4 linked regions of the Drosophila melanogaster genome follow. The protein of the gene in region 3 interacts with the protein of the main gene of each other region in a pairwise test. Each region holds a gene or a part of one and is shown on either strand. Other genes may lie near its edges. The genes, in order: fau, stai, drongo and prg.

Region 1 (8,853 bases), on a different chromosome or scaffold from region 3:
GAAAAGAAGTCTAGAAGCGAGGGCCCAGAACAACACTACTCCTGGTTCTGTGTGTCTACGAAAGCAACGTGCTAAGTACGCTGGACCAACTTACGGTAAAGGGTTCGGTATTGAGGTAATTGGTCAGGGCGCGGGCACCGTAACCAGGCGGCAGCCTCTTCAGATAGGAGGGCACAGAGCGAACCGGGCTGGTGATGACCCTCACCGGCGAGGGGGTGATCCTCAGCGGCGACAGCGAACTGCGTGGGGCATACACCCGGGTGACCGTGGTCGGGCTGTAGGCGTAGGACGGCGTGTACGTGGTGTACGATGTCGGGATGTAGGTCGAAGTGTAGGTCGATGGCAAGTAGGAGGGGCTGTAGTAGGTCGATGGCGTGGTGTAGGAGTAGGTGGTGCGCTCCGGCGATGAAATCACTCGGGTCGTCGTGCGGACAACGCGAACAGGCGATGGTGAGTGTATGACGCGGGACACCACGCGGGCAGGCGAGGTTACCACGCGGATGGGCGAGGTCACCACCCGGGTTGCGCCGTAGACGCGGCGTGGCACCGAGTAGCTCGAGTAGATGGGGTAACTCGACTTGTACACCTATATGGCAATGGTTTCAACATTAAGACAACATCGAATATGCAAGGTTCGGTGATTATGATTTGATTAGCGGAATGAGAAAGCAGAGAAAATAAAAAAGAACATATAAGAACTAGAAACAGAAACGTAAACCATATGTTCGTGATCTCTCCATTTAGGCAGTTTTGTCTGCCTTATGATTATGGAAGTAGTCGATTTTACATCACAAAAATGATGATATATGAAATGATAATAAGTAAAGAATGCATCTTGAAAATGCTTACTACTTTCAGATTATTTAACGTGGGATCGTGGGATTTACCCAGAATAATTTCTATTTTGATTAAATGGATTCTCTAGTGCTTTAATCTAAATAAGACTATGATGTGAGGGCTTATTACTAACCGAATCTGTTTTTCCAGTGACGATGATGTGATGGATGTGATTGAACAGTGTGTGATATAAGTCAATAGAAAAGAATAGTAATAATCCATAGAAAGATGGATGATGACAAGCGATGTAGGCGATAAGGATGAAAACCAAATACTTACACGAGTTACTTTCTCGACCGAGGGGTACTGAAAGTAATACAAAATAGAGCAAGTCATGTTTTGGTTCAAAAGAGTTGACAACTCTCATATATTTCTTGACAGAAACGGTTTAGATTTCCTTATCCTAATTTGTGTCTTCAGTATGAATATCGTATCGACCTCTATATATGTTCATTTCAAGAAAATATAATGCTACGTTCATTTGAGATAAGACCGTGTTTATTTTATTGTATCACAAATATGTTTTAACATGACTTCTTGAAGGTTGCAAATACACACAGAAATTGTTGATCTTGTTCGGTTAATCTAGTCTATATGCGAAACTATTTGGGCATTAGTGGTGATTAGTCCAAGTCAAAACGAAAATACATCATCATTGAAAACTTCGTATACAAATATATATATATATATATGGGCACTCAAGGTTAGCGGGTTAAGTGGATTATTTGCAAAATGTATATATTTATATATATATATAAATTCAGAACAATGACGTATTAGTGGGCACCATAACATTCAAAGCCGTGGACAGCCAACGCCGATCCTTTGACGCTGTGCGTCTCCTACACGTGGTAGGAGAAGTGGCGGTACTTGGTGCCGCCGGGCAGGTTGCCGCTGGTGGTCGAAGAATAGCTGTAGCCACCGGGTCCGGCGCCAGTGGTGCTGGTCCGCTCTGTGCTGTAGTTGTACGAGCCGCCGGGACCGCTGCGCGACGTCTTCTCCACAGTCGACGTGTACGTGGAGCGCTCCGGGCGGTACGAGTGCGGGTTGCTCGAGTCGTAGCTGCTCTTCTCCACGGACGACTTCGAGGTGTACGAGTAGTCCGAGGAGGCCCGGCTGCGGTGCGAGCCCGGTCTGTCCGTGCACAGGTCTAAGCGTGGAGTCTATAAATTCCGATTTGATAGTGATATAGAGATAAGGTTTGGTTTGGTTTTGGTTTTGGTTTCTATTTCGGCATTGGCAGCACAAGCATCATAAAAGGATTAAACTTGCTCCTGCTGCTCCACGAACTGCTGTATGCAAATGGCCAAAGAACGCAAGGCGACTCAATTGGGGAAATTGAAACATGTTCGAACTGTTTTACTTTAGAGTTAAGAGCTTAATGCAACCATCTATGCACACAAATGCTATGAGTCTATGAATGAAACGTTAGATACATGGGTACACAGAGAAAAAAGCACTGACCGTTTGTAGTTGGAATCTCATTGAACAATTTCTATAGAGCGTACTGCTAAAATGGAAATATTTCGATTACAACGTATTCTGGATAGAATGTCTAAAAGTTCTACTTTTTCTCTGTGTAGAGTAAAAACTTGTTCAGTGTTTAGTGGGTTAACACAAGATTATATGGACTATGGCTAGACTATATGTAGGCCTATCATTATTTTGAATGCATTTTCAGTTTTTTTTTTGTCTGTTTTAGTTGGTTATGTGTCCTTAGATACGACTAGGTTCGTTCGACTAGGCTTCGATTGGGTTCGGGTTATCGGTTGGGTGAATAGGATGATGCTCCCCTAGTAGGAGTACTTGGTGACCATCGCGCCCGACCTCTCGTTGCGGTAGGTCTCCCGGCGAACTGGCAAGGACTCGGAGACGGCGCGATGGAGTCGCGGCAGCTGGGCGTCCAGACTGTCGCGGAAGGTGCGGCCGGCGGTATTGCCACCCGCCTCCACGGTGTCGATGTGCTGGCGCACCATGCCCAGGATCCGCGTCCGGTTCTTGTCCCGGGTGGAGACATACGGCTCAATGGGCTCGTAGGCCAGCTTGTAGTCGGGCTTGATGGAGGCCCGATTGATCGGATCGAGGATCGACCGCTGGCGCCGCTCGAGATCGGGACGCCGCACTCCGAAGGCGGTCACCGGATCCGAGATGAGCGACGGCCGCGGCACGAACGGAACTTTCTCCCAGTCAATTGGTGTTCTCTTCGTTCTCTGTAATGCCCAAAAGTCCACAATTTTGTTTTTAATTTCTGGGTCAGCCGGGGATTAAGCTGTGGCTCAGTGGTTAGGTGGTGCAGCGAACGGGGATCTCAACTGGGCGGTGCGGTGGGTCAAAGTCATATGTACGAGTATATACAGTACGCGGGCGGGGCATTTATATACAGCTTCGTTGGGGCAGTAGTTGAGTTTGGTATCAGATCGCAGTGCTGGGTGGGTCAAGCTGTATCCAATAACATCGAACATCCTTACATTATGACACAAGATGCATAGCTACACATGTGTCTGAACCCTAGGGTGGACCTGCATCTCTTTTGGTTTGCACAAGCCTTAAACAGATATTACGTATACGCAACGTTGCTTGCACAGTTGGGCTGCAGAAAGCTAGCCTACTTAACAGGTTTCTATTGAAGTGCAGTAATGAAAATTTAGATTTTGTTTTTCCAAACGGTCCACCCTAGTCTAAATACACATATGTATATATGCATATTGATACGACGTAGTGTGGTTGTGAGTAATGTGCAATGGGAGCATTAAGATGGAACACAAACAGCAAACGTATATATATTTACAGCAATTTAGCCAAGTTTATTTATCAATTAAGCCAGTTACCCTACATTCTAACCCTAAATACCAAAAATTAAATCTCAATAAAACGTATTTCATAGATACACATCAAAGTAGATTGCCGTTTTCATTCATCGAATCATCAAGTTATCACTATAAATTATAAACAGCGAGTGCTTTTCAAAATGTATATGCATGGCACACAGAAAGTGTCCAGACAAGATGGATCTCTTGGGGATTCGATGTACCTACATATATATCCTTGCTTTGGATTATCATCACATTGGACAGTCGAAAAAATGGGCATTTTCTTATGTTGTTCCCTCTAATTTTCGAATATTTTGCGTTATTTTGTTGTAGTTGCTTGCCATGGCATCGGTTTATTTGAATATATTATGGAAATCGGAAAGATATTTTTAGGACCAGCAAAGAGCGAAATGCGCGCGCATATAGTATTACACATACAAAAAGCAAATCCACGGCCCGTACAAAAACAAATTATCGAGAGAGCTGTGGCTCCGTATGAGTTTCATCGCGAATTCGCATGTGTTTGGAATTCCACTCGCCCATACATATGTATATATTCTAAACATTTTTGGGCACCAGACCATTAGACCACCAGACCAGACGGACCTCAGCATTTTGTAAATAATAATAAAATATAGAGATAGAGAAGAAAATGTTCGGCCTCCGCTAAATTCTTAGTTCCCAAAATGTATTTAGCGTGTTATATTTGGGAGGTGAGTAAACACGTATATCCGAAAGAGATATGAAGATCATTGCACAGCAATAAATTTGCTGAAGATTCAATTCCCACGATCGCGCGAAAATTGCAATCTTTTCACACTCGCATCGTTTTGTCAGAATATTTTGTCACATATTTATTATTTCGGTCTGGTTTAATTATGGTTAGACGACTGTGCAGGCACATAACTCAGATATACATATGTAGTATTCAGTGTAGTACGAGTACACCACAACCATTGTGTGAGAGTTATTAAATTGTTAGAAATAGGCTTATGTATGAATTACTACACAAATGTTTACACTGAACCTGAAAATGCTATATATGTACAACATGGGCAGAACGTCTAGGTGATCATTAAATATAATATCTCTGAGCACAAGGACATTCCGTTGCGAAAGACCAGCTAGTTAGGTACTGTAAGTTCGATACGATATTCATAATTGGTAGACACTTTACATTCAAACGTGTTTCAATTTCTCAAGTAATCTGCTCGCTTCTCAGAATGATACCATTGAGTACAGCAAGTGGGACACAAGCGCTTAAAACTGAATTCTTGTGACTACAGATTCGATTAGCCATTAGCTAAGTGCTAACAGCAAATAGTTAACTGCTTTCAAATTTGTCAAATTTATCCTCAGCGTTTTTTGCAATCACAGGTTAGTTTATTCTTGAACTGCTTAAGTTTCGAGTTTGGCAACTGTACGCACAGATATATTTCACAGATTTAAATCGAGGAAAACCACACTACCGTATGTCAAGTAAAGTTCAGATTCTATTTCGAAGGGCTTACCGTAACTGCGTAGGAAGTTGTCACCGGCCTCGAGGAGTAGGTTCTGCGGGTCGTAAATCCACTTTCGTAAACCATGTTGAGATTTTTAGATTTGGATGCTTTGAGAGTTTTCAAATAGAATTGTTCGTTGGATTTTGGTTCGGATATATCGTCGTTGCGTGTTGTTCACTTGACGCCCGTTCGAGTTGATCTGCCTGAGAATCGCACGGAGCACTTGCTTATAATTTTTTGATTTTCAAAATTTTCACAGCCTTCGATCCCGCTCTCTCTCGCACGTTCGGTCCATACCTCTTTCTCTATCCATCTCCCAAATGAACTTATTTTTGGAATTAAGAAACATTGACATCTCTCCTCGCAAAAGAGCGAGCGAATTCTGTTTACATAAAGCCAGCACTTTTCATACAGTTGCGTTCGGAAAAGCCTATATACACATGAAATGTACCGAGTCTAGTGCTCCCAGGATATAGAGCCCTTATCTGCGAAAACAGACGTCACGGATTTCTTCCAGAACTTTATAGATAAGATTAGAATCTGTATTTAGCATGGGATATGACTCGAATTGATGATGATGGCATCTGAAGATGGAGGAAAGGCTAATATTTGGCATAGGCTAAATATGGGTCGATAAACATCAAAACATTCGGCGGATTATTTATTTATAAATCTGCCACAAGAATTTCTCAATATAATGAGCAATTATTGATTATGGTAATTTCAATATTTTTACATTTAATTGGCATTTAGCAGTATGATTACATGTAGACATTAATAATGTTTATAGCTTAATTCGTATTCCCATCATTCAAAATATCAGCATTCAAAGCATCACCGTTGTTTAAAGATTGATTAGCCAAAACTGATATGAATGAGCTTGGCATTTTTTGAAACAAATAAGGCGTGAAATTAAAATCCTGAGAGCAATTTATGGTCAGTGGGTATCACCTGTGGACCGGACACAGAGCTTTCCACACAAATAGCTGGATATAAATTATTAAGAAAATACAAAAATGAAAATAAGATAAAAATAAATGTTGTTTTCCAACAGTTTGAGGCCAGATTACTCATACCATCTTACAATAAGATCGGAAACATGTATTCGTGAACATATAAATAAACTGCACATCATCCTATACCCACATTTTAAATCGGGTGTGTAGGTGTTTGCTTGTATATAAACAAAACCATGGCAGAAATTCAAAAAAACCAAATTCTTTATGACATTAACCTTAACGAGAGGCAATGAATGATTCGTAATTTCAAGGCTGCCGAAGTCAGCCTAATCGGCGAACAAAAATGTCATTGAGCACTGACTTGGAATTTAGTGTTTGCTTTGTATTAATTAGGTGTTAATAGACATTGAAAAATTAGCAGAAAATAAATTGGCGAAAAGGATTCAATATAGCGAACAAATCTTCTTTGATTAAATGAAAAAGGTGGCACAACATTTCTGCAACATGTTGATTTTCATAAATCTATAAAGAGGTATTACTTTAGGTCTGCAACTTGAAAAGGTTTACTAATTGTCCATAAAAGTATTCGTGTCTGACATAATTCATTCATTATTTTAATATGAGGTGATATATGGAGGTCATTGTCTGGCGACCCTGACGATGTTGAATCTTTAGATCTGTAAGATCTTTAAGAGATTATTTTTGAAACTATGCATCTAAAAAATATGAATGTAAAAGACCTTATTCAAACGAATTTAGTATTAATATTTCTTGATATGCTTATTTAATGTTTAATATTACGATAACTTACAAAAATTTATTCAGCAATATACGTTTAGCTTATAAATATCAATGTAAGAGCCCATATATTTAGGCCCGTTTGAATATATATACGATATAAAACGAGCGGCAAGATGTCAGTGACTTAATACCAGAAATCTCTTGGTCGGATGCCCCTCATAATGATGCAAGTGGCGCAGGTGCAAACACTTCCATGTGTCTCCGTTCCCAAGTCGCGATTTTGATCCATTGGAGTACATAGATATACGACTTTTGGTTTCAGATGCATGGCTGCTCAATTTATCCGCCCAGCCAGCGTGGTTGTTTGTTGGCGTCTTCGCCACTTTTTTTTTTGTGTCTGCGATAATTTTGTTAAATAATTGAGTATGCAATGAAAATTGCGCATTACAGCGACATAAGTACGATGAATGGTCTTTCATTGGGGGGGGGTTGTTTACTGTGCTTGTATGGGGACATAAGTGCCTATATGGTTACAAACACCTGTTCATTCGTTTTGCTAGAATGCGTTTCTTTCCTCACTTTTTCCCAAATACTCGCATAAACGGCATTCAAATCCGCACGCTGCTTGACATTTTGTAATTTGAACAAATTGCTTGCATTTTTAGGCAACTCCTATAAATAGTGGAGTTGCTGCTGCTGGAAATATTAGTTTGGAGCAGAGCGAACGACACGTTGGAGCCACGAGCCAAAAACCCCAAAGGACTATTACTAATTTACAAAAAAAAAAAAAGAAACCCAAAAGGATACCCTCTTAAAAGAGCACAATGAACCGAAATTACATTGTCATACTGCAGCTGCTGGGAGTGTTGGTTGTGCTGACCTACGCCAGTGCAATCCCCAAATACGAAGATAGCCATAAGTAAGTCAATTCTAGTACCCCATATACGATACTCATTTGGAATGGCTTCAGGTTCTATGCGGATAAGGCGCAGCGGGATAGGTCGTACTTTAATGAAAACAAGACCCAGCCTAGTGAACCGCAGACAGCTTCCACGAAGGATAGACTGGAACGACTGGGCTATACCACTGGCTACGGATCCCTAAATGTGCGTAAACTACATCAGAACCTCCAAACCGTGGGCTAAACTACTAACATTGATCTGTGAACTTAAATTGTCTAGGGTTATCCTGGCGGTACTGGACTATCCGCCTACAATCCCATAAAACTGGACCTGGGTGGCGTTGTCTTAGGAACTCTTGTGGGCATAGGTGCCATTATACTGATTCCTAAGATTCTATCCGCCTTCCATGGTGGTTATGGAGGCTACGGCCGCAGTGAGTGAAATGCTTTTATGGAAATTCAAAAATAAAGTTAATTTTCGGTCATTTTTAGGCGAGGACAGTGACCTAACACCACTGAGCAGCATGATCAATAAGATTGACGATGTTCTGGGCCAGAATAATATTGACTCGACGAGTTGCATGCAACGTGCTGTGTGCGGTTATGTTCGCTCTACGGAGTATAATATGAAGATCGGTTCCTCAGACCAGATGGACGAATTTATTCATATGCTAGCGGAGTGAGTAGAGGCTTTTAACTCCAAGGTACTTAGCACACAATATTTGCTTTTGACTTACTTGTTTCCAGAAATGCCCTGGTGGATTACCTCCTCGATGGAACGGCTATTAAGGAGGCATTGGAGCATGGAAAGCGAGCCAATGATCGAGCCTGTGAAGAGGTGTACTCCAATTGTCCGCTGGACAGTAAATCAGCTACGGATATTCTAATGAAGCTGATGCCAAAGAAAAACCCACAAGGAAAAGGAAAATCATCTGGAATTTCCCGAGAAAAGAAGGTTTAGTTAATGTTGTTCTATGAAATTTTAAAAAATTGTTCTCCATTTGCATACAACCAAATATTTTCCCAACATATAAATAAACTCCATTGTGTTATCTTTATTCAACTAGTTTCTGTGCGTTTATAAGCTTTTCCAAAACAATTAA
Region 2 (8,300 bases), 5.3 Mb from region 3:
GGATACAAGCGCTGCATCAAGATCTTCGACACCAGCAGGTGAGTCGGCTGCTTATTTTCGTACGCTCATTTAATGCAACTCAAACTCTACTCCGTAGACCCGGACGTTTTTGCGACGATTACCCTGTCAAGTTTGCCATATCCTGCATTGCACAGACCACTGCGCACCCGCACACTCTAACCTGCGGCAACTGGCATGGCTACATCCAGCACTTTGACTTGCGGTGTAGCCACAAGCAGGGTCCTCTCTTCACGCTGGGAGGGCACAAGGGCGGCATCACACAACTGCGCTATGGAGAGTTTGGCAACGGGGAGTGGCATCTGTTCAGTGGAGCTCGCAAGTGCGATAAGATCTTGCAGTGGGACATGCGCAACTACAAGCAGCCACTGGTGGAGTTGCAGCGCCATGTGGACACCAATCAGCGTATTCAATTCGACCTCGCATCCGACAGCAATTGGCTGGCTAGCGGTGACACACGGGGATTCGTCAATGTTTGGGATCTCAAAAAATACGGAGATCCTTCCGTACTGCCCCTGCATTCAGACTGCTGCAACGGAGTGGCACTCAATCCGGCTATGCCGATTCTAGCCACCAGCTCGGGGCAGTTCCACTTTACAGACCAAAGTGCCCAAGGGGACAACGTGACCTTAAACGGAACGGAAACGACGGAGTTGCCGGCGCCGGCCGATGTGAATCAAAATCAGAAGGAAGTTCTCTACGAGAACGCAGTGGTCATGTGGTGGTGCGGCCAAACGGGATAGCATATAAAACTGGTGTAGTCGAGTAAATAATACAAAATCCGTCTTTATTCTTGAATCCATTTGGAAATACTAAAGCATCATGACCGGGTCCATACTGGTTGCCTTCACCTGCAAAGGATTTGCGAGAGTAAGTTGGCGTCGACTCAATGGCGATGGCTGTTAGGTGGAACACTTACCTAGAACCGTTTGAGGAACTCCTCGGCGCAGGTGCGTGCCCTGGCATTGACCGCCAGTTTCATTTCGCTGATCTCCTTGTCGATCTCCTCCATGAAGCTAATGACAAAGTCCACCAGTTTGTGCTTATACATCTGCTCCGTGTGGAAGTTGGTGATGAGGAAGCTTATGTCGTAGCCCTCGATGGGCTTGCGGCGCAGTATGACGAACGACTCGGCGCGTCGCATCATGAACCTGGTGAACTTGTGGCACAGTATGCGCTCAATCTCGTCGGCCTGCTTCACGGCGATGCTCACGCGCACCGAGTTAATGGACGGCTCGATCAGCACCTTCTCCCGCTCGTTGCGCGACACGACGACGGGCGTGAGCACCAGCTCCTTGCTGGAACAGATCTCCACCTCCGGCTTGTTGTGCCGCTCCACCACCTGCGAGGGGAAGTCCTGCAGGCACATCGCCGCCGTCAGCGAGTGTCGCACGGCGGTCAGGTAGGGCTTCAATGTGGCTGCCATTGTGTCTGGGTGTCGGGTTGTTGTCTGCTGCCTGCGGTTTGTTGTATCTGCACTTTTTACTTAACTTATTATGATTCACAGGCCCTGGAATTTATCAACCAGAAAAGATGTGACCATGCGCGGCTGGCAGGAAAATACCAATGCCGAGGTGGGGCCGCAAAAACATAGCAACTATTTGGAATTTGTTATGAAACAGTTTCTATTATATGTTTGGGAAGACTATGCATAAAGTTTATACAATCAATATTAAACATGTTGTTTTTAAACATTTATCAAATCGCACTTAAAACATTTCTTATGATGTCCTGTGTTAAGATGGTAAGAAACTTGACTATCAAGAACTTACCCGAGACCACAACCACTGTTCCATTTCCATTTGTATCTTATCTTTGTGGAATTTTTAGGAGTGAAACAATTTAAATCATACCTAAATTTTAAAAATTTAAGAAAAATGTATATGGCTAGAAGCGTTAAAATTTGAAATGGAAATATCAAATATATGTGTACCATATTAAAGTCCGAAAACCCAACACACCAGCAAAGAGGAAAAATGTTAATTTAGAAGAAAACAGCATCCACCAATTATAAATATTGCATTTATTTGTTTAATGCACTTTTATTATACAATTGTTATAAGTATTTTTGCTCGCATATGGTCAGTTATTTGTGGCTTATATGAACTTAAATTATGCGTGAACCTAGAAAGTGAGTATTTTAATCAATCGTTCAAAATTGTAACCCTTTCCTACTCTCAATACTCAAAAAATGTTTCGGCTGATTATTGCATTGGATTAGACATTAATATATCATAAATTGAGTAAATATCAAAGCATTTTATGCTTTGCGTTTATATTTTGTTCGTTTTTTCTTGAGTATGCTTGAAAGTTTTCGTGTCTGGGTAATTTGGTGTCCTGTGCGTGTTAAATTGTTTTGCCAATGCACATTTTTATTAAGAGATTTATGTTATTGATATTCATTTGTAGAAGCCATAGGTTTACACGAGTACACATACATATATAACGATATAAGATTTAAATTTAAGCTAATCTTTAAAGCGCCCTTTGGTGCAAAATTAAAAATAACTCGCAGGTTTTTGGAAAAAATTTTCCTAAATATTCCATTTGGTTTGCCCTAAATACTTTTTTTTTTTTTTATTATAACCCCCACATTCACTCTCCTCTTAAACCCATTTCTAAAAATAACCCGACGTTAGACAAAATATGCATTTCCATATAATATTACACACATTAATGTATGCTTATACGTAGTTTCCTTCCATTTATATTAATGTCTATATCAGCGTTTTTAGTGTTTGTGTTGTATGTAAATAAAGGAAAAATGCGTTTCGTGTGTTTTACATGGTATTTGATTTTATTGAATTGTATAAGCATTTCTTATGTATTTTTTCTGTTAGACATTTATTTTATAGATAGAAAATGCGAAACTTATAAGAACAAATTATTTGTTAGTGTAAAACTATATTCAGCATGTATATGTATCATGTTGTTGCAAGTTAGTAAATTAAAATTACCACTAAAGTATACATTAACTTAATTAAAAACATTTTCAAATTTTTACTCGCGAAAGCCATTCATAGATGCAAATACAGCGTGCTTATTATTTTGAGAATACCTCAGTCGATGCCACAGTAATTAAAAAAAAAAAAAAACTTGAACATTCAAGACTAAGACTTTGAAAATAATGAATCCAAAACGAATATAACATTCTTGGAACTCAAGGTAAAAAGTGTTTTAAACTTTCAACTGAAATCAACGTGAACTTTTAAAAGAATTTGAAATTTTAAATGACAGGCATGCATTCAACTTGCATAGGCTTTTCTGCCTGGGCTTTTAAGTTTAAATGTAGATTTCCTTTACTAATTTTTTTTTTGCATTAACTTGCCGTAAGCATTCATTTCTTTTCGCTTTATAGTAGCTTATTCGTGTTTCATTATAGAGCTCGTGAGAAAACTCGCTCAGCGGTATCTTGAGACTTTGCCCTTGCCCTTCGCTTCGTTTGCTTTCATAATACTTGGAAATTTTGAGAAATCGTTTTCAGTTTTAAGGGTTTTCTTGCTTAAATATGTGTTGGTGTATTATGCAGTGTTGCTGTTCTTTTTGTAGTCGCCTTGTAACCATGTTTGCAGTGGGTGAGCACAGCTCTCGATGCAGGATCGTTCTCCACTTAGCCTGAGGAGGCAATGGCGCTCTGCTGACCATCCAAATCCTGGGCCTGGGCCTTGTTCTGGCGCACGAGCTCAGCGCGACGTTCCTGAAAGAAAGGAAAGCAATCAAGGATTAATATTCGTTTGCGAATGGAGATGTGCAACTACTGCCAAGTGCTACTCAAACAATAGGGCAAATTGTCGCTTTCAGTGGGGGGGAACAACACGTACGAGTTTTTGAACTTTTTCAATTTTTTTTTGCAATTCCTTTTCGCGTTTCTGCTCGGCGGCGAACAATTTGTTCTCATAAATGCGCGCTTTCTCCTCGATCTTTTGACATTCCAATTGATCGTTCTGCGATTTGATTTCGGCAATTTTGATTGTGTTCTAAATGAGAGGATATAAGAGAAATGAAAAACCAAAATTATATGAACGCATGATAACTTATTTATAGTTCGTACACTCAATGACTAACTAAATGTTAACCAGTTTGCTAGTCCAGTCAAAATGATGTGTCATTTCAATTTTATATTCCAGCAATGAATGTAAGTTAATGTAATGTTTATAAAGTAATTGTTGAGACTTATGGGATCTTGGGTATTGAATATTATAATTACATACATCTAATCATAAACTAGATTTAATGAAAACTTTTGGCCATGCTATAGACTCACATGCTCCTTTAGGCGATCCAACATTTTCTTGATATTCTCATCGCGAAGAGACTGAGCAATCTTCAACTTTTCCTCGATTGCCTTCTGCTCGTTGGCCTTCTGCTGCTCAAGAGTCTCACGCGTCTTTTCGATATCCTGGGCATGGATCTTTCGTTAAACGGAAGAAAATACTTGGTTAGTTGGGAATATACTATGGGATGCAATAGGTTTGGTAGCCTACCTTTAGCTTCTCCTTCATGTCACTGATGATGGCCTCTCGCTTCTCCACATGCAGCTCCATTTTCGACTCCAGCTGCTCCTTGGTCTGAGTAATAAACTCATTGGTGATCTCATCCTTTTTGCGAGTCGCCTCCTCGACTTTAGCCAGCTTAGTGGAGATGTCAGCCATCTTCTTGGCTTCTAGAGACTGGGGAAACAAGATTTCACTTGCTTTACAACAACTTTAATTCTTTAATTTATGTACTTACAATGCGACGTTCCTCGGCCGCCTTAAGTTTCTGCTCAATCTCCTCGACGCTAACGTTCTTGCCAGGGGTGACCGGTCGTTTTGGAACGGCCACATTGGGTGCCGGTTCGGCCAGGATGACCTCATAGCTCAATCCCCCGCGGGACTTCTCCTGGCAGCGAATCTCTGTGGCTGTGGAGGAGGAAGGAAAGCAAAGGGAGACTTATAGTAATTCAATATTTTTGCACTTGGGGTGCATCGAATAGTTGCGGTTAAGGGTGAACCTCGTGGTTCAACCCTCGACTTGGCTTTCCCCCCATCAAAACAACATGACGTCATTTTTACACTTCCACCCCCTTAAAAACTAAACTTAAATGTTGTTCTTTTGGCCAATAAGTTAAACAATACGAATTTAGTGTTACATCGAAATATAATCACCTAAAATCGATATCTTGACATTCTCATTATCTAACTTGTAGACAAATCCATCAAATGGAATGCTGGACAACCAACGAAGCGAAAAATGATTTGTCAAAACAAAAATATGTATATGTATACAATCATTGAACAAGAGGGATAACGATACTTGAAGATGTTGCCACGACAGCCGACAGTGGACACCTTTTATATGTATCCATAACCATATTTTGACACATAATTTGCTATTATTATGGAGTGTCAATGGTGACAAAAGCTTTTAGGCAATCACAATGAGTGTGCATAGATTGTTTACCCAAAATGTTGCCATATCTCACCAATTCTGTTCTCCAAATCTTCCTGCCTCATCCTTTCCAGCATGACCGTCAACGCTGACGCATCCGCGGGATTCGAGTGCATCTCGGACAAGTGCAACTGCAACTCCTCGGCGCTAAATCTCTTCTTACAAAAAACGCAATTGTAGCTTTTTGAAGCATCGCCGTTTAGCAGCTTCTCGCCGCTGAAGAATTTGTCAAGAAAGGACCGATGGTAGATAATCTTAATGCGGCGGTCGTCCTTGTGCGTCTCAGTGTGCTGATTTCGGCCCTCATCAAAACACTGGCCGCAGTACATTACCTCAGATCCGCACTCACTGCAACCGTACCGTCGGTCAAAGTCAGCGCGAATTTGCCCGCAACCCTTACATTTGGTCGGTAAAGCAGAGAAATTGCAACCCATTTTAAATGATATGATCAAATGACTGATCGAAGTTCAATTTGGCGTCGTTACTGGGTTTATCGAAAAATGTTTAATGCTTTATTTATATTTTGTTCTCAGATGTCGGAGAAATGTTTTGCAATAACAAATAGAGACAACTGTAGACCGGAATAAAATGGAAAAGCGCTGCCTACTAGATGTGCAAATAAGATTTTGTAAATCATCTTCCACTAGCCAGAGAAATATCCGAGAAAAGCTTCCTATGAAATGGAAAAACCTGAGGAAACATCCAGATCGTTTGGTCATTTTCTTTTAGAAATGTTTATTTCAAAATACTACATATGCATATGTAATTATGAAAATACCGAGGCTTATTTCCTACAAATGCTGGGTGCCCCGCCTATTCGTCCTGGATGACCATATCTATGAAGTCGGTGATTTGAGAAATGGCTGACTCAGAGAAATCGGAATCCGAAGCTCCATCGTCCTCATCACCGTTTTCTTCCTCGCCGCTTTCCTTGTCCTCCTCCAATCCGGCTAAATCATCGCTGTTTCCTTCGCCATGCAAATCGCTGGCCATTTCTTCTGATGCATTACTTTCCAAATCATCCGATCCGGAATCCGCATATGGGATATCGCCCAAAACTGTGAAATAAGCCGAGCTGGTGGAAGCGGATGGGAGTTCAGTTGCCTTGCTTTCGGCAGTTGGTTCGGTCTGATAACCAATCCAAGTTTTGTACTCGGCGAGACCCCTGTAGAAGCGTTCCATCAATTCCTTGGTCTTAACAGGATACAGCAATAGTTTCCCATTTGATTTTACACTGCCTGATGGCTCGACTGCGTCCAACATGAAATTCGCAGTCCAGGGCAGTCCAATTGGCGGCTGGAACAGCTCTTCGTCTGCCAACATCGAACAGAACATTGCCTCGGTAAAGGTAGCTTTGAGCAATTTGCTTTCCCACTTTTGGCCATTTCCGCTCACCAATTTCGAGCACAAAAAGCGCTTATCCTTGAGTGGGGAAGTAATGACAGTTGACACCTTCTTGGTGGGCTGATCTCCTTGCGTCTTCGTTTGTGCCTTGGCTACCCCAGAGCTGGACCCCGCTTTTCCGCTCCTAGAAGACGAAGCCACCGCCGATTGAAGGGCTATCCCGATAGGCTCTCCAGTACGCCTAGCCGTCTGCCTGCGCACCATTGTTGTCGGCTGGTCAACCAAAACGGGCATGGCAGCACGCATACCCATAGCTAACGCTGTATTAGTACCAGGAGAGATTGCCTCAATGCGGGTCAGCCGATGTAGTGAGGATGATGAGGCGCCCAGACGCTGACGACGATCGGCCATGCTAGTCACAACCTGATCTTCGATGACGCGCACAAAAGACTCAATCGCCTCCATGTCCGGCACTCTGGAACTTCTGTGCTGCATAAGCACAGTTTCAGTCTGCTGCAGTATCTCATAGCAGCGTTCAGGAAAGTCGGCGGCAGTTGAATCCATATTGTCCAGCTGCACAACCATTAGGGCCAGGCTTAATGCGGAATCAAATACCTGCTCGGTCCGCTGTTCGCTTCGCGTGTTGCCACCGGCTACCGGTCGAACGCTTGCTAAATTGCGAGAACGAGTCGAGCGCGTTTGGCTAGAAGGTTGCGGTACTGGCACCTGTTGCTCCATTCCGTTGTCCGCTATATAGAGAGTATTGACCAACGACAAGTAGGCATCGTGGTCACGGTGGTCGCGATGCTCCTGCAGCAGGTGCATGAACAAATGGGCGGTAGAAAGGCCGCGAACATCGCACAGGGCACATTTGTAGCTCTGGGCCACTTTGTGATCACCGCAGAATGGCTCGCCGCCGAAGTACAGCTGGTACTCGGCATAGGCATAGTACACACTCATCGGATGGTAGTAGCGATGCTGAGGCGATGCCGGCAGATGGTTGGCATCGAAGCACTTGCCGCACAAAGTGTATTCCGCGCAGAACCTGCAGGTGTAGCGGCGGCCCTGGAAATCGGATATCTTGCAGTTCTCGCAGCGGTGGCCAAAGTGGCGCTCCGGCGGATTGCGCATCTGGTGGGCCATGGGTGCTTGAAGTGATTCTGGCAATGGAATTCGTGCACGGATGATATTATATACGAATTGTGCGCAGAGAATCGTCGTTGGTGAAGACTCAAAAGTTTGCTGAATTTTGTTTATGATATTAGAGAACCCTATTTAAAATTGAAATGTGAGCGGCCTCGCCAGTGTTTTTTATTCGTTTCAACAACTTACTCTTTTCACAACTTTTCACTTTCAACTGATGAACACCTTTACTCGACAAGAAAAATTATTTGACTAAACTTCTATTGAATATCGAACAAAAAAGTGAGACTGAAAGCTAAACTCCAAAAGGCGCTGCCAACTCGATTCTATCAACAATTGTGAAAATCCCGAAAAAATAGGAGCAC
Region 3 (7,023 bases):
CCCCACCACTTGGCTGCAAGCGGGAAAATCGATTAGTACATATGTATGTAACTTGGTTTCAGCACGTGTATGTTAATCGTTCAGGGGAATCGCGTGATGTTTCCAAAAAATATTACTCAAAAAACAAGCAAAGAGATAGCGTTATTGGGCTCAGTTAGTAGAACACTTGTAGTGCGTCGAAACTAACAAAATATTTTAGCCGCGTCACATCGAAAATCACGTCGGATTGCCATGAATGGTCGATGCTGTTGATTAGGAAACGGCTGGCAGGTGACTCACCCTCAACGGTTCCCCAGGGCACCGCGATAGAGAACTCCTCCCAGCTGTCCTCGCCCAGCAGCTGCAGGGGCTCCTCCGTCTGGCCATCTGAAAGCAGGGGGAATCCACATAAGTAATTCAACTAAAACCAAAGCAAGCTGTGACGAAATGGTCTGCGTCTGGTGAAATCGCCCGCGGGCCAGGTGAAGCGCAACCAGCGGAAACTTCGGACTCAGGTGCGCAGAGCGTGCGAGTCGGTGACCTGACCACGACCTCCTCCTCCGGTTTACTCACTTGTCTCTGGCGAAAGTTCCGCCGCGGGAGATTGCGCCGCTGTTGTTGCTGCCACGCGTGTCTGGCCCATGGCTAATTGCTGCTCGCAAATGGTGCTCCGTAATGCTGGACGCGGATCGGGCGAGCTCCTGCCTCGGGGAATCTCAAAAAGCGACTAACTAAAGTCGCAAAGTTTTGCCGATCAACGGAATTCGATTGTCAATAGCTATTGACAGATATGTCGGTTTGGCGGTGGAATGGCTAGAAAGTCAGATACGGAGCTATTGTGCAGCTCCATTCGCGACTGGGTGGCAACTCCCGCACATTGTTTTCATTTGCGATTGCAAACAAAATTTAATATTACTTGTATTCGAAACAATTAAGCTGAGAAATCATCATGTAAGTCTGCGTTATTATCCTCCGGCTTTGCCATAGCTAACTCTCGATTCCAACAGGACGGAGTACTGGAAATCAAACGAGCGCAAGTTCTGCGACTTCTGCAAATGCTGGCTGAGCGACAACAAGGCGGTGAGTCCATAGAATAAACTCGCTTTTCGGCACTCTAATGACCCCTAATCCCGCAGAGCGTCGCCTTCCACGAGAGTGGCAAGCGGCACAAGATGAATGTGGCCAAGCGGATCACGGACATCAGTCGCAACAGCGAGAAATCGGAGCGGGAGCGCCAGAAAATGGACGCGGAGATCCGCAAGATGGAGGAGGCGGCCATGAAGTCGTACGCACAGGATGTCCATTCGCGCGGTGACATGACCGCCAGGTCCATTAACACGGTAATGAGGGCCACCGCCACTGCTGCCGCCTCAGGCGGAGCTCACTCCTTCGCCGGAAGATCACGCCAAGTGGACCCCATGCGCCTGGAAGGATTGTCCGACGAAGAAGAAGACCAGAGGCGGGTGGCTCCCGGCAAGGTAACAAGCGACGCAGCCGTGCCCGAGGCATCCCTCTGGGTGGAGGGCAAGTCGGACGAGGGACACACCTACTATTGGAACGTGAAGACCAATGAATCCGTGTGGAAGCCGCCGAAAGAGGGCTATCTGTCCTACGAGGAGTACGAGCGCATCAACCAGCTGGCCATCGACCAGCAGCAGATCTCCCAGGCCGAGGAATCGCTGAAATTCCGCGCCAATGTCGACGAGGAAGTGGCGAGGGTGAACCGAGAGAAGATGAAAGCCTTCCGCAGGACGGACAATCCCAAGGAAAAGAAGCAGAAGGAGGAGAGGCGTCAGACATTCAAAACGGAGGAAGAGGCGGCCACCAAAGAGATTGGACAGTGGCAAACTGTGGAAGTGAAGTAGGGCCTTCCTACTAGGTTCAAATGCATTTACTGATAAATTTATGGATTTTTGTAGAGCACCTGAGCAGCCCATCGACTGGCAGCTACCCAAAACGGATTACTACAGTGCTGCGCCCGTGGTTTCCGCCTCGAGTGAACCAGAACCTCCAGTCAAGAAGTTCAAGGAAAAGACGATTGGCGGTCTGGATGAGGAGATAGCCGCCACTGCGCCCGCCACGTTCAAGCGGAAATTCATCAGGAAGGGAAACAGCCGCCAGCGCGCCGAGGATTAAGAAGTACTCCATGTGCTTATGTGCATATTTCACCTACTAGTTAGGTTTAGGCATAGGAAATGTTTAGGTTTTTAAGTGTTTGCTTATACCAATTAAAAAGTGAGATGCGTTTAACTAATATTAGATTAAACATAGCTATTGTAGAATTATTATTATCTTTAGTCGACTTGCATTCAATAAATATTTCCCAACATTTTAAATAGTAATATGTTTTTTAAAAAGTTTTAAATTTCGATAACAGTTATCGAATTAGGTTCAATCGGTGTGTGTCTGTGCTTTAGTTGCGGCATATTTAGGTCTTAGAGCTCCGTCCAATTTTAGTGCATTTCCAGCGGCAACACGAGGTATGTTTCTCCCGTCCGCCAACGGTCACTCTGCTGCTGTTGTTGTAGGCGAGCGGTCGGAATTTGCGTCGGAATTGTGTTGAGTCGAGTCGCGCTATTTTGTTTCGAGTGCGCTGTGCTGTTTGGTTTCGTTCCGTTTCGTTTCGCTGTTCGTTTTCCACTCGTCTTCGAATCCGCACTGCAAACAAACAAGGAGAAGGGGAAGCAGCAAAAGTGGCGAGTGCATTCGCAGCGTCGAAATTTCAATTGAAATCTGAAATCTGTGTGGCAATTGCAGCGGCACTCGGTGTAAATAGATTGAATTGAAGCGAAATTCTGCGAGTCGAAGAAGTGAAAAGTAAACAATAACACGGGCAATCGGAAAAGTGGTTTTCGATAAATCGCACCGCACACACACACCTGTCAGTGTGAGTGTCAAAGTGAGTGTGTGAGTGTGCGTCGAAGGAGAGGAAAGGTCAAGCCAAAAATTGCGTAAAGAAAAGGAAAGGAAAGCTTAGAAGAGGGGAAGGGGAATTACGTCAGTTTCGCATTCCCGATAAAAATTTTTGATTCCCTAAACGATCCTGATAGCCAGCCATTACGATAGGCAAAAAACGATAACAGCGGAAATTTACGTCAATTTGGAGCAGAAAGTAAACGATACCAATTCCCGAAAGAATTCAAAAAATCAGGCAAGATTCAGTTCGTGTACGCTTACAACAGCTCCGCGCCCCACGCCGCCTCCTCCTACCGCACCGCCGTCGCCCCCTTTGCGCCCTACGCGGCCGAGCGGTCCACCCACCACCACCCACTCCCGCCCCCCGAGGAGCGGCTGCCCTCGGACACCGAGCAGCTAGCTGGATCCGACGAGGATCGGGCTCAGAGCCACGAAGCGGAAGCGGAGGAATCCGAGGAGGAGCGCGCAGGTAGCGGACCCTCCGTCAGGCCGCTCATCGCAGCAGCAGGAGCAACAACAACGACAACGTCGACGTCAGTAGTACCGGAAGCGGTACAAAGGGCGGCGGCCAAGGGAGCGACAGAGACGGCGACAATGGCGGTGGTGCGCAAGAAACAGGACGACAAGTACCTGCTCGCCCTGCGGGAACTAGTGGCCAGCGGGACGGGGAGCAATCGGCAGTGCTTCGACTGCGGCCAAAAAGGACCAACCTACGTGAACATGACCATCGGATCCTTTGTCTGCACCCGCTGCTCCGGAGTCCTGTAAGTATTTGCCTTCTTGTTGTTGTTTTCTAGTCTGGGATAATGTAGGGTAGATCCAGGAATTAGGCATAAGTCGCCTGCTAGGTGACCTTTGTTATGAGAATGTAACTGTAACTTGGCTATTCATATTTTAGTTATTTCTTTGGTTGTCTCTTTGAGTTTACCAGGTATTCAAGATACCTCTGGAAAATATTTCAAACAATTTCCGATGCACAGATTGATCTAGCTTGAGATTTGTAGAATAAGGATGGTGGGTTATGAACTGACAAATCTCTTAAAATCTTCCACAAGAAGAATCCAGATATACGACATTTATGGTTATGGCTTTCTTGAATGGCTTTTGGTTGAATTCACACATGTTTTTTATCAAAAAGCTGGCTACCTATATACATATTCTGATAACTGCCAAATGGGCTACCCCCACTGCGTTTAGGAGTCATATAAAATATTGCCTTGAGTGTTTCCAAAAATAGAAATGCAAATTGAGAGCTATCAACGTCGATCCGTGGACCTTTCTTGGTCTCCCGTGTTATCTTGACTTGAACCCAGCCAATTTGAACTCGCCTGACGTCCATTTGGGATCTGTGCCCGAGTGGAGTGACCGATAATTTGCGATCGATCGATGCAATGTCCGATCCCGCCCCCCATTATTATTTCGTATTGTGTGTGAAAGCGAAAGCAATTCCCCAACAATTTCGAACAATTTCGCACAATTTGGCTTCCTTTCCTTTTTGAATGCAAATGCAAATCGAAGACAAAACTTTCAATTGCGCGACATCGCGGCGAACGAAATTGTTTTGTCTTCGCCGGCGTCGCTTTCTATTCGTGTTTTTCCGTGGGGAGACGTTTTCGAGAGCCGCCCACCTGGCGGTTGAGTTGTGGGTGTCCTTGGCGCCCCTCAGTTTATTTTTTATTTTTGCCCCTCTAAGTAATTTGGCAAATTGGCTTTGATTTGTGAGCACTATGGCCAAATTGGGGTCATATATGTATTACCACTCCGCCGACACTGCATTTCATTTGATTTACGCATTTCCGGATCAAGCACATTACATGATTGCTCTTAAACTTCCGCTTGGCCCAGGTCCAGAAGCCCAGTCTCCCACGATTCGTGTGCCCCAGATTGTGGCCTCTCAATTGGACAGCATGCGGGTTTCTCCGCTGAGTTATCTCTATCATCGGAACCAGGTTGAAAAGTAGCCAACTGCAATGCGTTCGCCCTGCTGCACTCTGCAGTCCCCAACTCTTGTTTCGATGACTCATTGCCCATTCCTCAGTCTTCGGTGTGCGGTGCTCAATCCTCAATCCTTAGTCCTCAAACCTTGTTGCCAACTGCCAAGGGAAACAAATGTTGGCATGTAAATGAAAAGCCACATAAATGCCGGGGACACCAAGCGATTGCACTGCGAGAAAGGGTTAATGGTTAATTGTAACAAACAATTGGTCCTGTTAGTCGGATACTTCTGCGGTTTTTCAGTTACTAGTCTAACGACGTGCCACGTTTCTGCCGGTGTAGCCAAAAAGGGGTGTGGAAAGGTACTGCAGCAAATGGGGGACTCGGCCGAGGAAGGGGGCGTGGCAGGGGCGACAGCAGGCGACAACGAACTTCCTGGCTGAAAATGAGACTGGAACGTCGACTGCGACAAGGGAGCGAGTGCAGGGAATACCAAATGAAACCAACTCCTCCGACTCACGAAGAAATGGCTGTGCATGTTCGGCCCGCCTTTGGATATTGGAATCCGCTGCAGACCGGCCGGTCACTTGGAGCGCTTAATGGAGGAAGCGGTTCAGGAATGAGAATGGAACTGGCAATGGTAGTGGGTTTCAGAATGGGAATGTCCGCGGTGGCGCGGGGAGGAAAACCCGTCCGACGGCTTTTGCCAGCCACACTCGGTTGTATTTTTGGGCCGAAGTTGCTGCTGCTGTTGCGCCTCCAATTGCAGACAAATTGTTGCACCTCAATCAAGCAGCAGTCGCCGCCATCTGCTGCCACACCGCATTTCGGTTGCTTTGTTTTTTTTTTGTTTTTGTTTTATTTTACTCTTTGGCTTTTGCAGGGTTCAAAGCTTGTGCTGGCTCATAAAAGTCAAGAAACTTGTTGATTAGATAAGGCGAAAGCAAACGGCCATTGGGAGCAGAGCTGAGCAGAGCAGAGCGGAGCAGCAATGGTGAGCCACTTTCTCAGGCTTCGTCATCATTCCCACCGCACACAACACACTAACTACACACAGCAATGGTCATTTGAATACGAAGTTGCCGGCTTAATAGTGCATTATTCAATTATTAAATAACTTGGGGATGTGAATCAGTGCGAGTTCAGGCGAAAAATGGAAATACCCATTGCTAGATGTGAAAATGTTTAGCTATACATTGGAGGTGCTTATATTTCTGCTTTAAATTTCAGATAGATTTACTTCTTCTAGTAAGCATCTTTCATAATGCTTACTTTATTTAATACAATTTTACCATCAAATGCCGTAATTTGTTTTCCTTGTGTCAACTGTGATTTTTTCTAAACTGATTACATATACAAGTGTTTTTATACGCTTAATCTTTCAAAACAAGTTTATTATGTGCGATTTCCTGGACTTCGTTTTGGAGTGTTTGAGTCATTTTTATTATGTTTTTAAACTTTTATTTAAAATATTTTATCAATCTTCCCGGCTGAGCTATTTCTGTGGTCACGATTGTATGTTTGCAGTCATTCGTTGGTTGTTTGTGCGATTCTATCTGTCTGGGAGTCGATGACTGTAGTCATGCTATAGCACACATAAAATACATATATATGGCATATATGGCATATTAGTTGATATATAATATGAAATTATTAGATAAACTGATCTGATGCTTCTAAAAGTACCAAACTTCCTATCTCTGATATCAATTTGTTACCAAACCAAGAGGGGGTATCAAAAACCTTTCATATTTGAATTTTCAAAACCATTAAGTCGTATTGTAGGTACATTTGTACATACGGGCAAGTGAACTGTGGAGCAGACCCCACCCGCTTTCCGAATCCCCGATTCCCCATGCCCATCGCGTTGGCATTGCAGTTGCAGTCGAACTGGGCCAACTGCCTTCGAGTGGAGCCCACAAAAGCTCGGAGCACGTCTTTCGCTCTCTCGTTTTTTTTATTTCTTATTTGGCCCGTTCTGCGGCTCGTATGTTAATTTCCGATTATGAAACAGCATAAACATGTCTGCATTTGACAGCCCCGAAAAGAGGACCATGGGGGGCGGGGTTGGGGGAAGGGGCCCACTTTCACCATGCGGTGTCAGCTGTGTGGCCCCTTTACTGCTGCCTCTCTATGCGCCGAAAAGGCCAAGACAACAAACGAACAAACCAAAAGAAAAGCAGGCAAAAGGCG
Region 4 (6,448 bases), 7.6 Mb from region 3:
TAATGATAGTATTAATAATATATTTCATACGGAAATGTGCTGTGCAACAAAGAATGCAAGCAATAACCTTTGCAGGTCCGTTGCCAGTACTATAAATATCAATAGTAAATAAACAATAAAATAATATAACAAATAAAAATATACAGTCCACTATATCGTTGTTTAATAGAAAATGTACTTCTACATAGAAAAAGCAAAATGTTTAAAATAAGTTAATTGAGTACAAATTGATGAATTAAAAATAATATAAACCATAATTGTAATCCAATAAAATTAAAAGCCAGAAAAACTAGGCCCATTGAAATCTTAGTTGCAAAATAAATGAACATATATCAAATAAATACAGTCCACTACTGTTATAAATGCAACTAATATACTAATGTACATCTCAGCTTGCTGGCCCTTTGGCAGAATGTTCACACATGAACACGAATATATTTAAAGACTTACAATTTTGGGCTCCGTTCATATCTTATGTAAATGAATCGAGAGCGATAAATTATATTTAGGATTTTGTTATCTAAGGCGACATGGGTGCATTGCTCAAAAAACATGTAATTTAAGTGCACACTACATGAGTCAGTCACTTGAGATCGTTCCCCGCCTCCTAAAATAGTCCCTTAGTGGGAGACCACAGATAAGGTCCTCGCCGCTCAAGATAGGCAGATGTGCCCGAGCGTGGGACCTCGATAAGGCGGGGACTATTTACTTAGGCCTCTGCGTAGGCCATTTACTTTAAGATGCGATTCTCATGTCACCTATTTAAACCGAAGATATTTCCAAATAAAATCAGTTTCTTACAAAAACTCAACGAGTAAAGTCTTCTTATTTGGGATTTTACAAGCGCTGAGATCTAATGGTTATGCCATTTTCCTTGGATTTTCATTGATTTTTTGTGTAACGCTTGTGAATGTCACATGTTCCTCCGAAAGCATATTATAATTTCCAACTTTGTACTTAATTTGCACGGCAATATTAGATTTTCGATATTGCGGCTCAGTAATTGGTCATAAATGGCTTATGTTATTAGTTCTGCAGAAAACAAGAGCTTTGCGATAATATTTCCACGTATTTATCGTAGTTTATACCCCTGCGCTTACTGGGTTCTTGGTACACAACGAAAAATAAACAATGATATGGGAAACTACATTTATTGTAAGAGAAATATTCAGCTCCATTTGTGGAATTGATTTTACTGTGATTATTCTAGAGGGTTGAATGACAAGAAAATTACCGACATGGTTTTACAGCCTACAAGTTACTGGATTGCAAATGAAGAAATTTTAGAAAAACACTTTGTACTCATACGGGTTAAGTTTTAAATTTACATTTCTGACAGTGTGCTAAAATCAATTTATCTACTGCACATGTTTGACTTTTTGTTTACAATGTCCACCGTCATCGCCTGCTTTTAATATTGCGAAGGGGGTAAATGGTTTGACACCCATTATCAGTATCAGTTCGACGCACGACAATCTCAGCGAAGCGTTCGGTGTGCGACAGCGGAACATCGATTCATTCAGGCAGCATAAGCTTTAGGCTACTGATAAGATTGTGGCATGATTTCACGCTGGGAAACTATGGGCATGGTTTTGTTACACAGTTGCTACGCATGTGACGCGGCCGCGGAAATTAACTTAAGTCCGGACATGAGGTCTGGACCTCCCCCACAGCCACCAATTGCCGTTCAGGTCAATTTAACGTCAGCGTTTCAAGTCAAGTTCAAAGTCAACGGGGAGAGTGATTCTAAGCTGTAGAACTAGACCTAGCTTGAGTCACGGCACCGATTCATTTGATCTGCTGATTGGACTTTCCTCATCGAATGATCATTGCCGAGCACTTAATTGCCGAGTGGAATGTTTAGGACAGCAATCTTCAGTTGTTTTTCATTGTACACAAAATTGGAAGTCACTCTCATGTGGCCGGCAAATGGCATGTTCCCTATGTTTAGGGGTAATTGTATGCAAGTGTAAATATTAAGTTAGCAGAAGTCTCGTAGGGTAAGGATATTTACTAATTCGGTGTGGTGATATCATATAGATTTGCTTCTAGGGACTTTAATCAGACCATTAAGCTCGAATGCAATCTTTGCGCTTATTTCACTTAAGCAATTATATTTTATCTTTATGTTCAAACTTTTTAGGGCAGATAGTGCATACGCTAGAGTGCTTTCGTTCTACTCACTACTAACTCACTACAAATCACTACCTAAATAGGCTAATAGACGCATTTTAAAGACCCCAATTTCGGTAAATTCATGAAATTATAAATTCTCTTTTTTATAGTCCTATTTATGAATTATAAATGCACAAATTCATTTTCATACGCGCAACGGCAACTGTGAAAAGTGAGGAATCCCAATAACCAAAAATTAACAGGGACTTGGTGGCAGAAAATTTAACACTCATGAGAACTACAGGGTGCGAGGGCAAAGCTTGGGTTAACAGGATGATAGGTACACAGAAAAAAAAAACTATTCCATTGAAATTTGCGATCATCATTCATACGGTGTTTATGTTTTTGGAGTAGTTGATTCAAAATTGTAAAAAAAAAACCCTGTGTTTCCTTTAGCAATGTGGTCCAATCAGTTCATCATTTTATGCATATAATCTAAATAATAAAATTGAACCTGATTACACATCAAAATCAAATTTCTCTCCGTGCATCGGGGGAGAGAACAATAAATGTACACGGGGTTGCTGTTGCTTTTATTCCTTAAGGACGGGAATAACACACTAACCGCATGGGAGAGAAAAGAAGTGGAAGAGGGGAGGTGGGTAGGGAAAAGGAGCGAAAGAAGGAGAAGCGGCAGGAGCATAATAAAGACAAAAAGTACGTGGGTGGAAAACAACAAATACAGCCCAAATTGTATAAACTCACGGAACAGTTATTTCCCTCTATGGGTGGAAAATTGTTGCTGCTAATTCCCTTGCTGCTGTTGTTGTTGTTGTTGTTGCCGCTGCTGCGTAGGCGTAACAGTTGTTTTGCCGATGTGTGTGTGTGTGTTCTAGTATAATTTGCAGCATCTGCAGTGCAATAAATTCCACTAAACGAACATTAGCCACTTTCAATAGAACCAAAAATCTCACTGCAATTAAGCAATAACCGCGCAAGCAATCAATCCCGATTAGTTAAAGGAATATACGCGCGTACGCACAGATTTTTAAACAATCATCCGCTTTCGCCGAAAGAGTGCCGGCACTCGAAAAATACCTCCGCTTTAATCAAGAGTCCGCGGGCAATTGAAAAAGCTCTCGCTTCGCGTGTTCACGGCGTGTACCTACATAGGTACGCATCAATTAGGTACCTGCCGCCCACTGCTTTAATCGTAAGTGCATTTCTGATTTAAAAGTGTGACACGAGCCTTATAAGTCTTATAATTTATATTTTATGCAAACAGCTTTACAAATTTTTAATGTGTAGAAAGAAACTGCGTTTTATTGAATTTGAGCATCATCAAACTTCAACCCCAAAGAATTACACATAAGTAGTTTCGTTTTTGCTACCAAAGATGCTGACGTTTATTTTGCGTATTAGATATGGCTTTGTTACAATTTTAGTAAAAGTATTTTAAAATGGAAAGGTACAAATCTGAACTTTAATAAAACACAAAATTGTTTAATTTAAAAACTTCAAATATTCAAAAATTCCTATAATTCAATTAAGTAACCCACTGTGCAGCGGCTTATCGATTTCCTCCGACAATCGATTGGACCATGTTGTTTAATTTCGCGACATATCGATACTATCGTGGTAGATTGGCCATTGACCAACGCGTTTTATTTGCTACCGGTGTGGCTTTTGTTTGCTTAAACAATTGGATAATTTATTGCAATCCCGGCTTAAATGCATATGATTGAAGAATGCATACATCGGATATCAGCATGACCCAGGATCAGGATGTGAGCACTTGTCGCCTGTGCCACCATAATACGGATCCCAACTCGCTAAACATTTTCGATGACACCGTGCAGTTTTGCAAGGATGTGTCCATTGCAGAGGTTTCCAAGAGTCTCTGGAGCGTTCAGGTGAGTGGGCCATTTATAATCCATGGAAAAAGTGCATGAATAACTTCTCCACCTACAGTACGATCGCAACGAATGTTTGTCGGAGCTCATTTGCTCAAGGTGTCTGGAGATCCTCGAAGAGGCATTCGAGCTGCGAAAAGGAATGCAGGAGCGGGAACAGTCCCTGCAGGAGCAGCTGAAGGAGATGATTAAAGATCATCCGAAGCACCGTCCAGGCCTGAATGGCAACCCCGGAGTATTCGTACCCGAGGAGGGCTGCATTATTGTGGAAGTTGATCCAGAGAATCTGGCAGAGAGCAGTGAAGAGGAATTCGCACTCGGCTCCGATGGGGAGTACGAAAACTATGACGACGATGATGAGGAGGAGGAGGAAGACTACGATGAGGAGGACGAGGAAGATGGCCAGAACGGCGAAGACGTCGACATGCCACTGGGCATGGATGCGGCCCAGATGGCGGCTCAACAGTCCGTTGCCAACAACGCCAACACCACGGAGGCACGGCCAAAACGAGCGTTCCTCTGTCAATACTGTGATCTTGGGTTCACTCTGCCCGCCGAGTGTCAAGAGCACGAGCTGGCTGCACACGATCCCAACGCACCGTACTGCTGCAACTTTTGCAACATCAAGCTGGTTACCCGGCCTGCTTTGATTTCGCACATAAAGACACTGCATGATCCGGACCGTCCGTATGTGTGTGCTCACTGTCGGAAGGGTTTTGTGCGCCGCTCCGATCTTAAAAAGCACACAATCGTGCACACTGGCGTGAGGCCCTTCACATGCAACGTTTGCTCCAAGAGTTTCTCGCGGAATACAAATCTGACCAAGCACATGCGCATTCATAGCGGTGTCAAGCCCTTTGTTTGCCAGCAGTGTCCGCGATCCTTCCAGACGGCTGTGGAAATGATGCGCCACACACGTTCGCACGGAGAGGTAAAGGCTTTCCAATGTGGACGCTGTCCCTACTCGTTTTCGCGCAGGGATAAGCTAATAGCCCACCAGCAAGTCCATACCAGGCGGGACATGGAGCAGCAGCAGCAAATGGGTCTAATTCCCCCGATGGAGGGTGATCTGCAGCAGCAGGCGTTGCAGGCTAAACAAAAGGCTGCCGCACAAACCAAAAACTCACGCTATTACCACTGTGATGTCTGCGATCGAACTTTCCAACGGGAGAGGGACCTGCAACGCCATCAAGCTCTTCACATGGACTCGCTGTTCGCCTGCAAGACATGTAATCAAGGTTTCAACCGACGCGAGCAACTGCAGCGCCATGAGCTAGAGGCTCATGGTCCCAGCTTTACGTGCGGAATCTGTTGCATTAGCTTCCTGCATCAAATTGAGCTGGAGAATCACCTCAAAGTCCATCAGTTGCAGCACAAGATGGCCCAGCGGGCTCAAGAGGCTGCTATTTTACCCCTAAAAATGGCCGAAAAGGCTCCAGTGGCTATGACGGCTCCGCTAGTTCAGGATCCCCAGCTAGTGCGTCCCTCGGCAGCGGAACTGTCGTTCTACAGCAACATGATTCCCACAATGAATCTGGGCTTCTACAGCGAGACTCGTCCCGAGGAATAGAACAACATATTTACATGTTTAATAAGCTTAGTTGATAGGTCGGAAAAGTTTTGTAGGTCAAGGCTGTTTTAGTCGTTCAGGTCAACATAGAATCCATTGGTGTTAATGAATCTGTATAGTTTAAGTCATCTGACTATTGTCTGCCAAAATGTAGCTTAGTGGTTTTTAATAAAAGGCCAAATCTGAAACGGTTTTCTTCGAGATCGTATGACTTTGTGAAGATATTATTTTTCATAAGATATTAAAGAAAGTTTTCTGCTCTATAAAAAACTTCTTAAAGTTAAGTTATGTTAAACCTATTTAAAGTAGGTTTACTTAATATATAAATAAAATATCAAGTAAGGTATTTGAACATTTTGTATTAGCAGTCGTCTCAGACCAACATGTTGCGTGCAACAAGTTGCACGTTGTCCGATACGAAGAAGGTCTTCTCCGAAATCTTCAGAGCAACTGCACCGCTGCAGATTCTTTCTTGAGTTCGCCCCGTACGGTAGTGCCTCTCGACCAGCGCTCTCGGATCTTGATCGCCTCGAAATCTCGTAATCGCCTCGAAGTGCGCGTAGTGAATTGTGCTGGTGCTGACAGTGTAACGTAACGTTTGATAGAATAATAAATAATAAGTATTGGAGTGGGAGATCCGCAAAGAAATGTGGCCAAGCTACCATAAATAAAGTGCGGATTTCAAACGAGACGATAAATCTATTCCCGAAACGGGCACGCAATCGAGGGAATACGAATCCACCTTACGGTTCGCTTGGTTTTGGTTAGGTTCAGGTTCCGCTGAGAGCGGTAAGTACGCAATTACCTTCGCCATTGCCAAGGGTCACTTCGCAGGCGATTTATGTGTATG

What was found.
Region 1: the proteins of drongo (region 3) and fau interact in a two-hybrid assay, tested with the Drosophila melanogaster proteins (one large-scale study listed by BioGRID).
Region 2: the proteins of drongo (region 3) and stai interact in a two-hybrid assay, tested with the Drosophila melanogaster proteins (one large-scale study listed by BioGRID).
Region 4: the proteins of drongo (region 3) and prg interact in a two-hybrid assay, tested with the Drosophila melanogaster proteins (one large-scale study listed by BioGRID).

The regions. Positions count from the first base shown.
Region 1 is NT_033777.3:10,772,019-10,780,871, forward strand, and holds fau (fau), read right to left. Parts: upstream 5,357-8,853; 5' UTR 5,234-5,356; coding exon 5,159-5,233; intron 3,048-5,158; coding exon of another isoform or gene 2,631-3,047; exon of another isoform or gene 2,001-2,630; coding exon 1,680-2,000; 3' UTR 1,179-1,679; downstream 1-1,178. Other genes in the region: CG45076 (uncharacterized protein), read right to left, coding at 95-586, 1,117-1,143, 5,159-5,233; CG45078 (uncharacterized protein), read right to left, coding at 2,631-3,047, 5,159-5,233; Desi (desiccate), read left to right, coding at 7,674-7,768, 7,820-7,955, 8,031-8,184, 8,243-8,429, 8,498-8,711. UniProt on the Drosophila melanogaster protein: Plays an important role in the regulation of tissue responsiveness to oxygen deprivation.
Region 2 is NT_033779.5:6,118,393-6,126,692, reverse strand, and holds stai (stathmin), read right to left. Parts: upstream 6,020-8,300; 5' UTR 5,883-6,019; coding exon 5,483-5,882; intron 4,920-5,482; coding exon 4,750-4,919; intron 4,689-4,749; coding exon 4,503-4,688; intron 4,430-4,502; coding exon 4,283-4,429; intron 3,996-4,282; coding exon 3,840-3,995; intron 3,716-3,839; coding exon 3,629-3,715; 3' UTR 2,040-3,628; downstream 1-2,039. Other genes in the region: WDR79 (WD repeat domain 79), read left to right, coding at 1-38, 98-761; Arpc4 (Actin-related protein 2/3 complex, subunit 4), read right to left, coding at 938-1,444; CG31642 (uncharacterized protein), read right to left, coding at 6,262-7,935.
Region 3 is NT_033779.5:846,535-853,557, reverse strand, and holds the start of drongo (drongo), read left to right. Parts: upstream 1-2,486; 5' UTR 2,487-3,489; coding exon 3,490-3,659; intron 3,660-7,023. Other genes in the region: kraken, read right to left, coding at 1-13, 280-366, 553-622; CG4291 (uncharacterized protein), read left to right, coding at 929-930, 987-1,059, 1,116-1,840, 1,899-2,115.
Region 4 is NT_033779.5:8,460,747-8,467,194, forward strand, and holds prg (piragua), read left to right. Parts: upstream 1-3,741; 5' UTR 3,742-3,863; coding exon 3,864-4,028; intron 4,029-4,086; coding exon 4,087-5,598; 3' UTR 5,599-5,948; downstream 5,949-6,448. UniProt on the Drosophila melanogaster protein: May be involved in transcriptional regulation. The function of this protein is unclear.